Linked DNA regions of Sus scrofa. The protein of the gene in region 2 interacts with the protein of the main gene of each other region in a biochemical or structural test. Links are inferred from orthologs where the notes say so. Each region holds a gene or a part of one and is shown on either strand. Other genes may lie near its edges.

The links.
Region 1: the proteins of SNTA1 (region 2) and MCM7 interact in a test that uses a peptide from one of them, tested with the Homo sapiens proteins (2 studies listed by BioGRID and IntAct). The link is inferred for Sus scrofa from reciprocal best matches to the Homo sapiens genes SNTA1 and MCM7.

What each region holds. Positions count from the first base shown.
Region 1 is NC_010445.4:8,009,986-8,016,084, forward strand, and holds the start of MCM7 (DNA replication licensing factor MCM7), read right to left. Parts: upstream 4,011-6,099; 5' UTR 3,912-4,010; coding exon of another isoform or gene 3,854-3,911; 5' UTR 3,437-3,853; coding exon 3,406-3,436; intron 2,895-3,405; exon of another isoform or gene 2,523-2,894; intron 2,241-2,522; coding exon 2,161-2,240; intron 1,861-2,160; coding exon 1,696-1,860; intron 1,409-1,695; coding exon 1,284-1,408; intron 1,210-1,283; coding exon 1,029-1,209; intron 735-1,028; coding exon 597-734; intron 305-596; coding exon 155-304; intron 1-154. Other genes in the region: AP4M1 (AP-4 complex subunit mu-1), read left to right, coding at 3,854-3,911, 4,011-4,099, 4,505-4,611, 4,691-5,030, 5,119-5,199, 5,407-5,469, 5,569-5,635, 5,740-5,793 and 1 more. UniProt on the Homo sapiens protein: Acts as a component of the MCM2-7 complex (MCM complex) which is the replicative helicase essential for 'once per cell cycle' DNA replication initiation and elongation in eukaryotic cells.
Region 2 is NC_010459.5:36,943,433-36,947,561, forward strand, and holds the start of SNTA1 (alpha-1-syntrophin), read right to left. Parts: upstream 2,801-4,129; 5' UTR 2,671-2,800; coding exon 2,361-2,670; intron 1-2,360. UniProt on the Homo sapiens protein: Adapter protein that binds to and probably organizes the subcellular localization of a variety of membrane proteins. May link various receptors to the actin cytoskeleton and the extracellular matrix via the dystrophin glycoprotein complex.

The DNA.
Region 1 (6,099 bases), on a different chromosome or scaffold from region 2:
CCCTTCCATGTGAGTCCCTGAGGAGTTCCTGACAGAACCCTCTGTTCTGCTTTGTTTGGTATTCTGTTGCTTGCTGTCACTCTTCTCTGTGGGGCTGTTAAAGAGTGAGGAGATGAGAAAAAAGGAACCACCACCTCATTTTCAACTTTCTCACCTGGACCACCTGTCGGAACCCGGTGCGCAGGATCGGCAAGAAGATACCGGTGACACTGACATGATCCCCAGGCTGGGCGATCCTCGTGTTCTCTCCTTCCACCAGCACTGTGATGCTGCGAGGGATGTTTCCCACGGGCACTTGGTCACTCTGGGGAAGAAGGGTCCATGAGGCCTGCCTTTCTCTCCTTATACACACTATGGCCACTTCTTGGTCTGCTTAGCCTCAAGCAAGCTGACAAGAGGAAAACTAGGCTTTTTTTTAAAACTCTTCCCAACTCAGAAAGTTCCAGTTAAACCCCGTCCTGCTCTCACTGACTTCTCTGCCTCGACTCTCCCCTTTTGTTCTACTTTCTTTCTTATGCTTCTGAACGACTACAAGAATCAAACGGACTCCCAAGCTCCCCCTTCCCTGAGCCCCAGACCACATCCCCCAAACTCACATGTTCTTGCATCTTCATCTCCTGGAATTTGATGAATTTGGAGCCACGTGTCTGAAGATACAGTCGCCCTCCTGAGCGGTTGGTCTGGCACTCCTGGCTTGGGCACATGATCAGAGGCATGAAAGTGGGAGACTGGATCTAGGATACAAAAAACAAAGCACCAGAGGAAATGAGAAAAAAAAGGGCTCCTTAGAGTTAGTCACCTAAATGACGTTTCTTCTCTGTGATAGAAAACATGGGATTGCTGAGTACACCAAGAACACAGAATGGATGGAAAGGCCATCCCATGCTGGAAAAAGAATGAAAACACACAGGTGTGTTTTACAATTAACAGACCAGTAATGACAACATATAATCATCACAAAACAAATTAATTCATACAAAAACCGCTGACAAAAGTAAACACATTCCCATTCTTTGCTCTATACATACCGGCTGGTAGGTCTCTGCCCCACACTGGTCACAAGTGTAAGTGGCCACCACCATTCTGGGTTTGACTTCAGAAACGCGAGTGACAATTCCACGCACAGTTACCAATTTCCCCACAGAGTCAGCCCGTACTTCACGGATCACACGAGGTTTGCTACTGCTCGGGCCTTGAAAATACAGCTCGCTAAAGGGGGAAGAAAGTGATGAGCAAGGTGCTGGGGATCAAACCCCCACATACTTCCCCCTGAGCCCACTCACAATCTGCGCATCAGTTCAGGAGGGTACTGGTTTTGGGGACTCCGGGCTGCCCCTGGGTCCCGGCTGCGCTGCTCCATCATCAGCCGGTGCTCAATGTAAACATCCAGGACATCTTTATTTACCACCTGAAAGGATAGGAAAATAAGAAAACTAAGTGGTAAGATAGGGAAAGGAGACAGCATAAAAGGCTCCAGGCAGCAATCACCACCCTTTTTGCCAGCTCAGAAAATACCTGAGTTCTCTTGTGGCACAATGGGTTAAGGATTCAGCGTTGCTGCTGCTGTGGCTCAGGTTGGATGCCTGGCATGGGAACTTCCACATGCTGTGTCAGGGCCTAACAACAGCAATAGAAGAAAATACCCGAGTAGCTTCTCAACAGAAACCTAAGTTTCTTGCCCTGCATTTTCCTCACCTCCCTCTCCTTGTACTGAGGCAGCAGCTCTTGCACAGCATCAGCGAAGAGCCTGGCATAGCGCTTGGTGTTCTCACAAATGGAGTCCACCAACTCAGGATCATCCTCAGTGACGTCGTCTAGGTCTATGTACATTGCCACTTGCTCCCGATGAGCCAATCGAACCTGGGGGTGGGGGGAGACGGCAACAGAGCCAAGTTCACAGGCAAGAACCCATCACTGTGGCTCAACACACAAGTTACCAAGCCTCCAAAGGACAGAAAGAGCACTGTGAGACAGAAAAAATACTCACCTCTCAGTTAACTCCTAAAAATACCTTAATTATTGTGAATATAGTACTGTTAACAGGTATGATGCTAAACTTGTCACTTAAAGAGAAAAACAGCCTTGCTAAAACAAGTCAGGCCACTTCTTAGTAGCTCCTTAAGCCACCATCCCATTTCTTCTACCTAACCTTAGACTTACCAACTGGTTCCCATACTTGAACTGCTTCTTGCCAAGTTCGTCATCTTGGTAAAACTCCTGTAGAAACTTCTTCACTTTTTCTACAAGGAAAGTGTAAAATCGTGACGATCAATCTTTCTTCAGATACCTTACTCCAAACTCCTCTGATTCACTTTCACTTAAAATGAGATCTCTGAACTAATTAGATAAATGAAGATTTATTTAAACAAACCTACAAACTCCTTTTCCAAGTCCGTTTTTATCTGGGGGAGCAGAGGGACCCCTGGCAGTTGCGAATATTACCCAACACCCACCCCCCAAGGGAATTCCACTCTCAGCCTTAGTTAGAAATCTCGGAACCCTTTTCCAAGGGCCTCCCACACCTGGCAACACACCCAGATCTCAAGACTCTCAGCTTTTCTTCCGCGCGAACGCTTCCCCTTTTCTTTCTGTCTCCTAAATCGCCGCTCTCACCGGGACCTCCGCCACCAGGCCCGTCCTCCGCCCCACCCCCTCTCCCGCCACTGCTTCCGCTCTTAGTAAACAAAGAAGCACATGGGCCCAGATGATGCCGCCGCCTCACAGCCCGGGATTCCTCCGCTCAGGGCGGGAGACCGTCCAGCGATTGGCCAGCTCCTCGAGGGCCACTCCGTCCCACCCCACCACTTCTTCCCTCGGTCTTCCTCTAAACTCCCCCATCCCAGGCACGCCCCCATCCTCAGTAGTTCTCTCCGCGGCCACCGCGCGGAAGGACACTGTTTACACACGACACCCTCCAGCGGTGTCGCGCAACTTCCGCTCGCCTTCACTTCCGCTTGGAGGTTAGCCTGACGCGACCAATCCCGGCGCGCAGCGGCTCAGGCCTGCCCGCCCCCGGGGCTTCGGCGCGTCGCGGGAGGACGCGGCTACTCTTGAGTGCCTAAGACCGTGGAAGGAAGCGGGCCCGCGGGTGCCAGACCCTGAACCTTACGGCCCCTGGAAGCCTTGGTCTAAGGCGCGACCGTTCCTTCTGGAGCCTCCAGCCGGGGTGTCCGCCCCCCACCCCACGATACCCACTCCTTTCCCGGACCCGGTTACCAGCTCTTCCCCGACCCTGGCGCCTCGTACGCCTCCCAGTTACCGTAGGCCTCAGCCCCGACGCTTCCCGACCCTACCGTTGACCTTGCGCTCCGGGCCAGGCCCCTCAGGAACCCAACCCACCACCAACAGGTGTTGGTCAGGAACCTTTCCGCGCAGGACGCCCCTCCCACGCTTGCAGACCCTCACCTTTCTCGAGAGCGTAGTCCTTAAGTGCCATTGCTGCCCAGGGCTGCGCGGCAGCAGTTGGCGGGCTCAGACCTCTCACTGCCTGGGCAGCAAAAACCGTCTGCGCCGTGGTCCGCAGCCGACCAACCGAAATTGGCGCGAAACGTCGCCCCCCATGTGACCAGCGCCGCTGTGTGCGGGCCAATCAGAGAGGAGGTCCTCCGCCCCGCCCACTCGCCACAGGCCCCAGCGTCAACCAATCACCGGGAGAACCTGGGGTGACTGACGGGGAAATGGCGCGGGTACTGAGAGGGAAAGGCTGAGCGAGGCGGGGCAGGCGCCAGGTTTCCCGCGGTCGGAGGAGAAGCCCTCTTAAAGGGCCAGCCCATTCCCGTCCTTTTGTTCCGGGGCCGCAGGGCGGGGCAGGCCCAACTTTTCGCTGCCTCCTGGTCTACCCTCCAGAACGGCCATGATTTCCCAGTTCTTCATTCTGTCCTCCAAGGGGGACCCGCTCATCTACAAGGACTGTATCCTTGGCTTGCGGGGCGGGGTTGGGGCTGGGTGGGACTGGTGCCTCCGAGCTAGCCAGTGTCGCTGGCTCCTTAGCTGTTCTTCTATCCCGTCAGTCCGCGGAGACAGCGGCGGCCGGGATGTGGCAGAGCTCTTCTACCGGAAGCTGACGGGACTGCCCGGAGACGAGTCTCCTGTTGTCATGGTAACCACTGGCGGGGGTGGGGGGTGGTGGTGGAAGGGATGCGCTCAGCGCTCCGAGGCGGCGGGGGCTGGGGTGGGGAGGGCAGTGCGGGGATCTTCCCAGGGCTCTTTCCCTGAGAGCTTCTACTTGGGAAGTGCAGTAGTCCAAATGTTAATGGCAGTTTATTGAGCAGCAACCGTGTTCCAGGCACAGTTCCTTACACATCTCTGTCCTCAGCTACTCAGTTAGTTGGTACTGTTATTAATACCATTTACACAATAGGAAGCTGGGCTCTAGGGAGGTTTCATATGTGGCCCCAAATCACGTTGCTAGTAAGTAGGGGAATCCGGATACTAGCCTGTCTCACAGGCCAGGAATCATTACAACTCTCGTTTCCTAATGCTTTTCCCCCTGCCTCTACCTCAGCACCACGATGACCGTCATTTTATTCACATCAGACACAACGGCCTCTATTTGGTGGCCACGACTTCAGAGAACATTTCTCCCTTCAGCCTCCTAGAGCTGCTCTCCCGGTGAGGAGGACAGGGCTGGGCACATGGGCGTGGGGGTGGGAGAGGAGGCCGATATGCACACTCCATTGTGTTTCTGCAGGCTAGCCACTCTCCTGGGAGATTACTGTGGCTCCCTGGGCGAGGGGACCATCTCCCGCAACGTGGCTCTGGTCTACGAACTCCTGGATGAAGTGCTGGTGAGGTCTGAGAACGTCCTTCCCTGTCCCCTATTCTCTGAAGATACATCCCGTGGTTGGGAGACCAAGTCCACTCATTTTCACCCCTTCGCCCCACTGACCACCCAAAAAATGTCCTTCCTCTGCCCGCAGGACTATGGCTACGTACAGACCACATCCATGGAGATGCTGAGGAACTTCATCCAGACGGAGGCCGTGGTCAGCAAGCCCTTCAGCCTCTTTGACCTCAGCAGTGTTGGCTTGGTCAGTCAAGGGACAGAGGAGGCCAGCATGGATGAGGGTTGGTGGGGAGTGTCGGACCTGAGGATTGATTGCTTTGGGTGCTTTCCAGTTTGGGGCCGAGACACAACAGAGCAAAGTGGCCCCCAGCAGTGCAGCCAGCCGCCCTGTCCTGTCCAGCCGCTCTGACCAGGTAAGGGTGGGGTTGACGGGTGCAGATCAGAGTCCCGGAGCCCAGCTTGTCTTTCCATCTCCTCTAGACATAGGTGATCTCGTCCCTTCCCTTTCCTGTGTCCCCATCCCAGAGCTCCAGCCTCTAGTGACCTGTCCTTTTTTGCCTGTCTGTGTTAGAATAATAGCCAGTCAATCGCCACCCACCAAATCCCCCTCTCTTCCTCAGAGCCAAAAGAACGAAGTGTTCTTGGACGTGGTCGAGAGACTGTCCGTACTGATAGCCTCTAACGTAAGTGTGGGCCCCCAGCCTTGCTGCTGAGGACAGGTGACGTTTGGGAGACATGTCGGGGAGGTCCCTTCTGCACATGAACCTTCCTGGCGCTTTCAGGGCTCGCTGCTGAAGGTGGACGTGCAGGGAGAGATCCGACTCAAGAGCTTTCTGCCCAGCGGCTCCGGTGAGCAGCCTGCAGGCTAGACCAGGGTGGCGTTTGGGATTGGCTCCTTGGTGATGTGCGTGGTGTTCTTTGGCGGCTTTTTCTGATGTTCTTTTCTCTGACAGAGATGCGCATTGGCTTGACGGAAGAGTTTTGTGTGGGGAAGTCAGAACTGAGAGGTGAGGGTCTTTCCAAGGCAGTGGTCACTGCCACAGGTTTCATGGAGGCAAGTTAAGAGTCAGATCCCCTCCCTGCCCTTTTCCCTCAAAATATGGGTTAGGAGAGGAGTCTTTCTCTTTTTCCAGGTTATGGGCCAGGAATTCGGGTGGATGAGGTCTCATTTCACAGCTCAGTGCATCTGGATGAGTTTGAATCTCATCGAATCCTCCGCCTGCAGCCCCCTCAGGGTGAGGTCAGGATCGGGCCAGCCTAGCATGTTCCATCTCCCGAGGGGAAGGGAGGCAGTTCGAGTGGGAGGAGACCAA
Region 2 (4,129 bases):
CCATGCTAGAAACCAAGGTCTTAAAGTCTTGAGATTTCAAAAGTCTATTTGAATTACAGTCTGATGGGGGGGGAGGGAAGCTAATACATTTACCACAGTGCTTCATTGCTAAACTCCTGAATGCCCTTTTAAAATAAGAAACAGTAAAGACAGTTCACATCAGTTCCACATACCAAGTGCCAAGCACCACGCTAAACGCTTTCAATCTTGTCTCACTGCATCTTCACGACACCCCAACCACACAGGCATGCTCAGATCCCTATCAGGACAACTGAAGTGTGGAGAGAAGCCCCTTGGACAAGGTTACCCAGCTGGTTAGTGGCAAAACAAATATCTAAATCTGGGTCTCCTGGCTCCAGAACCAACACTCAACTCCACGGTCAGGCCCTCAGATACCACACTACTGGTTTATCCTCAAAGATAAGGAATTAGTGGCCCAGAGAAGGGAGGTCATAATTCCAAGGTCACACAACAAATTGGTGGCAGAAGTAGCATTGGAATGCCTCTCCTGACGCCCCACAAAGACCCAACAGTTTGCTCTTTGCACTGCAAAGAGCCTGAGGCCTAGAAAAGGAAGAGATTTCTATTTATATCTGCCCTCTTCACCTGAAACTACCCTTTCAAAGGGTCACCTCAAACTTCAGTTCAGTTTGGATCCATAATCATTCCTGGATGCCTTGGGCTGGGCTGGTCCCTAGAGGAAAGGTCAACATGGCAACAGGAGCTCAGTCTCCATACATGAAGAATTGAATGGGGCTGGTATTCCCCTGACACCTCCTAAAAATACCTTTACCCTCACCTGGAACAATGAAGCTGGGGAGTATTTTATGTGACCTTAGAAAGTTCCCCTCCTCTCCAAGATTCAGTTTGTCCATTTGCAAAATGGATCTCTATATGAACTCTTAAGTTCCTTCCTCCTTTTGAGTGTACAATTTCTGGATTGACCTGTTGCCCTATCCTTTGCTAAAGTTTTGAGGGCAAAACTGGCGCTCCCTCCCTGGCTCTCCCTTTTCACCCTTTTAGATGCCTTTGGTTGGCTGCACGGAAGTTTGTCCTTCTATGGGGAAGAAGTGACTTCTCTGGACACTCTCTAGTGGCCTGAAAATTGAGGTTCAAATCCCAGCTCTGCCACTTACCAGCTATGTGATCCTGGGAAAACCATTTGACTTTTCTGAGTCTCAGTTTCTTCACCGGCTAAATGAGGATTATGCTTCCTATCTTTTAGTACTTGTAGCCAGGTTAGAGTAGATTGTGAGCCTAGAGTACTGGGCACAGCACTTGACACACAGTGGTAGCCAAGTCACCCCTCACCTAGGCCAAAGGGTCTGGAAGCACCAGGAACAGAGCCAATATCAGGGTAAGAGAAATGTGCACACCCAGGGCTAACTCTTTCCCAAGGCTAACACCCTTTCCCAAGTCAGATAACACTGCTTTGGCTGGGAGCTAGGAGCCTTAGAAGTAAGTGGTTTGGAATGGTGAACCCAGCAGCTGGAGTGTGCAGGGTTTTTTAGCACTATGGTTAGTTACTTGGGATGTCTTTCCTGGCCTCCATTTTTCCTCTCATCTAACAGCAATAATTAACCAGGCACCTACTATGTGTTGGCAGGGTGGGTACTTTGGACTCTTTTTTTTTTCTTTTTAGGGCCACACCTGAGGCATATGTAAGTTCCCAGGCTAGGCTAGGGATCCAATCCCAGCTGCAGCTGCAGTACTAGGGGCTGAGAGCCAGTCTCAATCATGTGCAAGGTGCAAATGGTCAGATCAGGAAACTCAAACCCAGCTTTTAGGACTCTTCACCTAGGTACACAGCCTCAGGTTTCTAGGTCCTTTTTTTCTCTCTATCTGGGAGCTCAGTCCAGCTGGTGCCTCCATGTAGTTTGCAATCCTCCTCACCGGCCATGCTTCCTACTCCAGGCCTTACTAGCCCTCCCTCCCACTTTGGTTGTATCTTGAAGACTCCCCCATCCATGGCCTAGCAGCCCCCCAGGCCTCAAACCCCTTTCTCCATCCTTTGCTCTCCTGGGGCTCCTCTTATCCCTGATGGCCGTGCAACCCCTGAGAGGCAACCAGTCTTAGATCTCTTCGCCTCCGCACGGAACTCCCCACCCACGTGTCCTCGGTGGGCCCCTCAACGCCCTCCACATATCTGCCTTCTAACTAAGACTTCCGATTCTCAAAACCCTCTCCGACCTTGATGCTCCTTGTTTCCTGGGTTCCCTCTGTCCTCTCGGACGCCCTTACCCCCAAGACCGAAGTCCTCCAACTCCACGTCCTCGGTACGCCGCCAGCCCCTGCGACCCCGGCGCCCTCATCTGTCCCACAGACACCACAACCAGCGCCCTCGGTGCCCCGGCGCCCACCTTTGATGCTGATACCCAGCCCGCCGGCATCGGCCTTGTGCACCGTCACGAAGCGCGTCTGGGGCAGTTGCGCCTCAGGCAGCTGCGGGGACGCGGCGCCTGGTTCGGTGGCACCGTTGAGCTGCGCGGGCACCGGCTCCCGCTGGGCGACGGGTTCCGGGCCGGGTTCGCCGTCGGCGGGGCTCACGGTCAGCGTGTCCTCAGCTAGACTGAGCAGCACCCGCTGCCACCGCTCTCCGCCGGCCCCCGAGCCCGCTCCGGCGCGCAGTTCCAGCAGCCCTGTGCGCGGGGCGCGCCTGCCTGACGCCATCTTCGCCTCCGAGCCCCCAGGCCGCCGCGTTCGCCCTGTCCCGCAGTGCCCGGCAGGCTCTGACCCAGCGCCCAGGGCAGAGGGCAGCGGGGGCCCCACTGGGCCTGCCGCCACCCTCCACCTGGGGGTGGAGCCTAGGGGCGGGGCTATGTGTGGGTGTGGCTAACGGCGGGGGCGTGGCCACAGACAAGCTTCAGGAGAGACAGGGAGGGCGGGGTCCAGGAGCCGAAGGATGTAGTGTGGGACTTCATGGGGGTGGGGTCATAAGGGCGTCTGGGCGGGACCACGAGTTACAGCGAGAAGCTTCTGAAACGGGGGCGGTGGGGCAATTAGGGGCGTGGCTTCATCCTGTGGAAGAGACTTCGCTGGGCGTGGCAGTCCGGGGCCAGGACCGTCGCTCACCTACGTGACAGCACAGGAAAAAGAACCATGGACACTGCTGCGAGACTTTGGTTGTTGAGGTGGGACTGCATATGGCGGAGAGCCGGACTCCAGAGACAGGGCTTGAGTTTAAGTAGTAGACACCAAGCCGCGAGGGACTTCGCAGGCTGGCAGCTAAAGAAGGTTTGAGGGAGCCTGTTTCCCAGGGTGGGGCCAGAGCTAATATCTGTGGGCGTGGCTTAGTGTGGGGCGTGGTGACTAACGCTAACAGGCCCCTCCCACTGGGATGAGCACGTTGCAGGCTGTTTAGGGTTTGGGGAAAGAGTGGGTACTGCCCTCACTTGGAAATTGGAAAGGTGTTTGAGATTAAGCCCTTGTTCTTGGAGTTCACGTCGTGGCTCAGTGGTTTCCGAATCCGACTAGGAACCATGAGGTTGTGGGTTCCATCCCTGGCCTCGCTCAGTGGGTGAGCTGTGGTGTAGGTCGCAGACATGGCTTGGATCTGGCGTTGCTGTGGCTGCGGTGTAGGCCGGCAGCTACAGCTCCGATTTGACCCCTAGCCTGGGAACCTCCATATGCCGCGGGTGCGGCCCTAAAAAGACCAAAAAAAAAAAAAAAAAAAAGACAAAATAAAACTAAAGATTAAGCCGTTGTTCTGTTCACAGTCAAATACGGAGAAGCCTTAAGTCCCACACTGAGAGACCTGGAGGGAGAAGAACCCCTGTGAGGAAAGAGGGCTGGAAGGTGGGGCTCTCTGGGTCTGGGTCTCTGGAGACCTGGCTTACAATACTGCTCAGACACTGTGTTAGCCCCATATCGACCCTGGTCCAGGTACTTTCAGTTCTCTAGGCCTCAATTTCCTCATCTGTGAGATGGGGGTCATAATAACCCCTGCCTCACAGGGGACTGTGTCAGGATTAAATCAATGGGGAAAAGTAAACTGTGAATCTTATGCAATCAATATAATCACCTTTATTTATTGAATGCCTACATTGAATGCTTACTATTGGCCAGGCCCAGATCTAAGCATCTGCATGTATCTTCTTGACTTTACAGTAACCTCATGGAGTAGCTACAG